Linked DNA regions of Caenorhabditis elegans. The protein of the gene in region 2 purifies or fractionates together with the protein of the main gene of each other region. This does not show direct contact. Each region holds a gene or a part of one and is shown on either strand. Other genes may lie near its edges.

Region 1 (3,348 bases), 4.7 Mb from region 2:
AAGTTTTATTTTTGGTTTTTATTTTTTTTATTGAAAAAATTGAATTTTCGAATTTTGGACTAAAATCTACGCTTTTTTTTCATATTTTACAAATCTTCTTAAGCAAAATATGTTTTAATGGTTTTCAATGATTTTTTCTAAAAGTTCAAAATAAATCGAAAATCGACTTTTTTTGGGTTTTATGGTCACAAATTCCAATTTGTAGTTCTTGGTCCAAAATCAAAATCTGTTTTTTTGTTTTTTGGTAAGACTTTTTTGGTCCTACTTCACTCCATAATAGTTGACTTACGCTTTCGTCTTGAATCGTGACCAATTTTGACGGAAGTTTCGATACAGTGCAACCTAAACGTATTATAATTGAACACACTTCAATCAAAATATTGTTTACCTGTTTAAACAAAAAACTGCTCCAATTTCTGTTCAGCATATCTTTGTTTGATAAGACTTACTTTATTGCATTCGAGTAAATCTAAAAGAAATGATTGAAAAATGATTTTGATCAGTACGGTCAGTGAAAAAAAAACGATCAGAGTGATTGATCTATGCTATAGTCAGTTCACGTTAGAGATGTATAAAATAGATAGTTTTTGGCAGAAACCAACGAGAAAACAGGCATGTTCTGTAACCACGGATCTTTCAATTTAATTTTATTCTTGATGAGAATCAATAGAAAACTGGGAAGGTTTTTACAGGAAATACGGTTATTGGGTATGATAATTTGAAAACAAGAAAAGTTAGATTGGTTTTTTAAGATTGGCATGAACTTGAAAAGCTGAGTAAAGATATCGAATCATGGAATCACAGGAAAATGAGAGCAGCCACCACATAATTATTAGTCGAAATCTGGGGGAGGTGCAGCTGCAGAAGGGTACGATGGTGGTGGTAAAAGAGCATCTCCATCAATTGGTGGGCAAAGTGACATCATATGACTGCCGATGGGAAATAATTTCTCACGCAAAGAGAGCATGGCGCCAGTGTTCGTGTTGGTTCCAGCGTGAACAATGAAATAATACTTGTCAATAGAATGAACAGCAATTTGGTGGGACTCGTACAATGCAAAGGTTGTTTGATGACCTCCTAAAACATAACTGAGTAGAAATAAAAATGAGAAGTCAATAACTAACCCATGTCGAGTTTGTGAATTTGAGGGATTGTTGTCACGTGACTGACAATCAGCTGTTGCCTGAATCTAGAATTATCCAATGTCGATGGAAGACCTGAAAAATGGTTATATTTTTAAAGTTTATATTAATTATTGGTTTTATTGATGAAAATACTTACCGATATTCAGAATGAGACCTCCATCGTGATCAGTGATGAAGATTGCGCAGACCCCCTCATAGGTAAGCATAAGCTCTTCGAGCTCTTGTTGGACGTTCATCATTTTACTGAAACAATGTCTTTTTTGTTTTTTTTTTTAACTACAGATACCACTAAAATAATCAGCAACATAAGGAAAATTCTTGAATTGATAAAATAAGAGTAAAAATCTGAAATCGGTTTTGGTGGCCGAGTTTTGTCCCGAGGGCCGATAAAAATGGCCGAGGAACCCGAGAAAACCGCGCCGCACTTTGCGTTTTCACGGGCGATAGACTCCACCCTTTTGAACAGAAAATACTATTTTTTGTGCTTTTCAGCTGTTTTAGCTTATTTTTCAGTTCATTCCGTTACTTAAAAATTGAAAACAACTCAAAATAGTTATTCTATGTTTCTTTGTTTGTGAACGATTCAATTTTCCTGCTAATTAAGCATATTTACTTTTTATTTTCAAAAATCGTTTTCCTGTTAATCTAAATAAGGTTAAAACATCACAATTTTTATAGGTATGTCTGGAGCCGCTAAGAGGGTAGCGACGTCTTCCGTGAACTGGTCGAAGCTCGGTAAGTTGTTTAAGTCACAAGTTACGGTATTTTACGTATGTAATAAATAACTTCTCCACAATTTAGTGTTTTAACTTTTAATTTCAGCCGAGCGTTTGGTCCCGGAACACGCCGCAGAACTCACCCGCGTGAAGGGAGTCAGTGGAACTTTCCAATCCGCTGTCAGCCAGCTCCCGGCCGATCTTCCCAAGATCGACTTTGCTGCTTTGAAGAAGGCCCTCCCGGCTCATTCGGCAGTTCTCGATTCTCTTCAAAAGCAGTATGAATCTGTAAAGATCCCATACGGAGAGGTTCCAGCCGAGTATTTGAAGGAAGTAGACCAATGGGTTGATTACAACAACGCCCGTATTAAGCTTCATGAGGTCAAGGTCGCTGATGGACTTCAGGAGGCCAAGAAGGTTATTACTTTTATTTCGAAAAGATTTTTAATATTCTTTTTCCAGGTGGAGGAAAAGTGGGCCAAGGCTCCACCAGTTGAACATTTCGATCGTCAGCATTTCGTCGAGTATTTCCCAGCTCATTTCTATGATCTTCGCTACCAGAACAGAATTCCTGATCCATGCAACATCGGACTCAACGAGACTCCAGAAATTGAGAACAGATTCAAGGACTACAAGGTGGAGAAATTTACCAAATTATAGTCATATTTATTAATTTTCAGGTTCTTCGACGTGCCGACAAGGTTGACGACCATTAAACGATTTATCATGATGTACCGTTCAGTAGACAACTCTCGTTCTTCCTTATCGCTCTCCTACCATTTTTAAGACCATTTTGATTTGTTTTGTAGCCGTTTGTTTTATAATTTCGTCGAATTTTTTTATGTGCCTGGGAGCTTATGCAGTCGATACCCCCTTCTTCAGATTATGTATTTCATAAGAGTGATGGCAAGATAAAGAACTTTCGCATGTTTCCTTTATATTATATGAGAATTTCTTTGCAATTCGCGCGAAAAGAATCTGTTGGCATCATTGATTACCTTCGATGATCGGATTGAAGATATCAAAACAAGTTTTTTCTTTTCATGTTAAAACCAACTAATGAAGTTGAACGAATATTTCCATAGTTTCAATTAATGTCAGTGTATTATGTACATTGAATTCGGATTCCATGTAAAGATCAAGAATTGGCGTGAAGTGCACTATTGTTCTAAATAAGTGATAGATCACATTTAATCAAGAGGCGCCAGACGCGTTGTCTCTTATCTTGATTCGATAAATATGAAACAAACAGACGGAGGCACGACAGGCCTGACTTGTTATTCTTTTCCGAAATTTTTTTGCAGTTTCTTGATTCTTCTACATTTAAGAATTTCAGGGTTACCTAAGTATTTCTGATGCAAATGCGTCAACAAACGGTTAGTTTTATTATTTTCTAAAGTTTTTTTAAAAACTAAATTCAGGGACGACGGCGGCGTCAGCCTTCGGAAACATCTAATGGTTCTTTGGCTTCCAGTAGACGCTCCTCA
Region 2 (3,130 bases):
AGAATCCCTATCTTCCGACGAGCATCATGGGGTCACAATGATGTCATATCGAACGGTTGACCTTCCAGTCTTCCATTAGAATCCCGCCTACACTACTTCCCATCTTATCTGTTACATCAGTAACGAACCTTTCGCTTCGTGAGCTCTCGTTTCTGGACATGCGATATTTGTCGTTGTGAGTTTACAGAGACTCTGGTCGATGACTCCTTTGAAAATTCGACCATCTTAAATATTGGAAATGGAATTTTAAAAATGCGTGAGAGAAAAAAACACAAACCTTTTATTAATTTTGAAATGACTAGAGTTTTGAATCCATTTCGGCGGAACGAAAACCTGCAATTTGAAATCGTGTGGTATATGAGTAGCAAATAAAAGGTCGTCTGTCGCGTCTGCGCAATGGTGCTGGGTTAGTGTCTGTGTGATGACGTAGGAGGCTTGCGGACAGACAGGTCTGCCTAATGGTGCACCCCAAATCGGCAATGGGGTGCCGTTCAAAAGAGTATTCACGGGTTGGGGAAGAGTTTGAATATGTTTGCTCGTAGAACAACTGTACAACCCATGATTTGATTGAACGAGTTTAAAATGGCTGATAACAAGCCACTTTATCGAAAAATTTTGAATGAGAATAATAAAAATAAGCTTCGTGACTAAAACAACAAAGTTTACAAAAGAACAGAGAGAAATTTCAAAAATTAAGGAACAAAAACGTTCATTCGGTCTATAGACGATCTATTACAAAAAGAAACAATACACCATTCAAAATCGAGAGCTTAAATTTATTGCTTGAGGGCAGCATTACGGGCGGCTTGTTCGGCTTTCTTGGCATCACGGGAGGCAACATATTCAGAGTGGTCCTTCTTGACTCCTTCAAGAAGCGAAGCCAATGTTTGTCCTTCAAGAGCGGATTGAACTGCAGAGTCAACCTGGAAACGAGCATTTTAATGTTTTTTTTTAACTCAGCACTTGGAACAGCCTATTAATAATCTAAAATTTATAAGATATACATTAATCGGGTTACTTCTGGTTCTCAGATTATCAAATATATTTACAAAAACAAAAGCTGATTTTTTAAAAATTATTTGAAACTATTTTGGTTATTAATCGACAAAAATAAGGATGTTTCTTTAATTTACTTCGATAATTCATTTAAAAATTGTTCAATCGAGCGATACTTTTGTAACTGAAATTTTTTTTAGCTAATTTTATTTTTTAAATAAATCTTTGTTTGTTTGTCTTCATTTATATTACCTTAGCAGCTTCAAAGTTAGTTGGGAGCTTCGAAACAACATCGGCGTTGGCGAGCTGGAACTTGGTGGCCAATCTGTTGAGCTCTTCCTGGAGAGCCTTCTTAACGGCTGGATCAGAGTTAGCCAGGTTACCGGCGTTCTTGGCGATTTCGCGGATCTTGGTGACGAAAGTCTGCTGGATCAAGTCCTGGCGGCAAGCCGCGGTGGTCGAAAGAGAACGGACTGATTGGACTGCGCGGAACATACCTGAATATAAATTTAGAAATTGTTTTCTGTTCAAAGGATGTTTATAAGTATCGAAGAAAAGGCACCGGAAACCAGGAAAATCAAACAAAGCGCAAAATTCCACAAAACAATGATTTATTAAAATATTTACAAAAATAAACATACTCAAGAGAGGGGAGGAAAATTTAAAAAAAAAATGAAAATGAACGTTTGGCGGATCAATGAAGATTGCGAGCATATTTCTGAAAATATCGGGAATGAAAATTAATAAAATTATTGCTTTAAATTGAAACTACACGAATTTTTAATATTTGGGGACACTTTTCATGCGGGAATTGGTTATGGACTAGAGTTTATGGAATGATTAGAAGATCCGGTGAAAAAATTGACTAGGAATTTGTGAAAAAAAAAAGAAGTTAAAAAATAGGGCGAGACGGAAGAAGAATAGTGGTGTGAAAGTACGTAAGAGTGAACATTGACCGCACGACTAGTCCGCAAACACCGAGCCTACTGTACGCCATTTCGCGTTTGCCACCTCCACCAGCATGTCTCGATTTTATGCCGAGAAGCGGAAAATGAACTGAAACTAGTATTATTTTTTCTGTATTTATTTGTTATCGAATTGGTACTAGTTAGCTGAAGCATAAAAACAAAGGATGTGAAGGACCTTCGAAACATAAGGAGCCTTTGGAGGTTACAAACGGGAAATATCCGTACAATAACTGATTTGAATAGTTTATTGTTAGATGTTTGGACATAAGTTAGTGAGGCAAATTGGAAAGCAACAAAAATATGTGAATATGATAAGCTAAATATCACGTATTTTCGCAGTAATTAATCATCCTGTACATTTCTAGAACATTTCTGAAAAATTGTACTGCGATTTGTGAATTAATCTAGTGAAGCAGGTGCTGACTGTGTGAGAATCTATTGAGCTGATTTTCCTCTGCATACCTGGAAGAGCATTCCAAAAACGAATGAGGCCATTACGATAGGAAGAGTCGCAACATTCATCAGATTCAGAGAGATTCGTTTTCCCGTGAGGCGTCGCATTTGATCGAGCTTTTGTTGGCTTAGTGGCGGGTAACGAGCTCTGAAATTAATGCGATTAGGTATCGAAGGTTCGGAAAAAACGTACGCTAAAAGAGATTCTCCGAAGAATCCTCTGTGAAGCACAGACTTTTCATGGGTGAATGTGTCAAATCCATACTTTCCACGGTAACGTCCCATTCCAGAGACACCTACTCCTCCGAACGGGAGAGTATCAACTGTAATTCAAAAATTATTCAGATATTTTAAAATTAAAATAGCATACCAGTAATGTGCATCAACACATCGTTAACAGTCACACCACCACTGCTAGTCTCATTCAAAAGGCGTTTAACTTTAGCTTCATTTCTTGTGAAAATGTAAGCAGCCAGAGGCTTCTCTCCATCAGCAATGTACTCAAGCGACTCCGAGAAAGACTGGACAGTGATGATGGGCAGGACTGGACCAAAAATCTCATCATGCATGAATGGATCAGATTTCTCAACGTCAAGGACAGTTGGAGGGATGTAGAGATCTGCACGATCACGTTCTCCACCGATAAGAACAGCTCCTTGAGTTTTATCGAGAAGCCCAGAGATGCGACTGGAAGAAGAGTTCAGATTAAATTA

What was found. The genes of interacting proteins can lie anywhere in the genome.
Region 1: the proteins of atp-4 (region 2) and atp-5 purify together in Caenorhabditis elegans (affinity purification with mass spectrometry; 2 studies listed by BioGRID, with this or other methods). This does not show direct contact.

What each region holds. Positions count from the first base shown.
Region 1 is NC_003283.11:11,122,343-11,125,690, reverse strand, and holds atp-5 (ATP synthase subunit d, mitochondrial), read left to right. Parts: upstream 1-1,823; 5' UTR 1,824-1,825; coding exon 1,826-1,880; intron 1,881-1,967; coding exon 1,968-2,278; intron 2,279-2,323; coding exon 2,324-2,497; intron 2,498-2,541; coding exon 2,542-2,577; 3' UTR 2,578-2,790; downstream 2,791-3,348. Other genes in the region: strt-7 (Phosphatidylcholine transfer protein), read right to left, coding at 290-342, 389-427; lmtr-3 (Late endosomal/lysosomal adaptor and MAPK and MTOR activator 5), read right to left, coding at 833-1,077, 1,125-1,217, 1,282-1,381; mboa-2 (O-acyltransferase), read left to right, coding at 3,217-3,237, 3,283-3,348.
Region 2 is NC_003283.11:6,425,620-6,428,749, forward strand, and holds atp-4 (ATP synthase-coupling factor 6, mitochondrial), read right to left. Parts: upstream 1,494-3,130; 5' UTR 1,492-1,493; coding exon 1,249-1,491; intron 924-1,248; coding exon 777-923; 3' UTR 627-776; downstream 1-626. Other genes in the region: T05H4.11 (DUF4706 domain-containing protein), read right to left, coding at 129-224; alh-4 (Aldehyde dehydrogenase), read right to left, coding at 2,307-2,336, 2,427-2,565, 2,611-2,740, 2,788-3,104.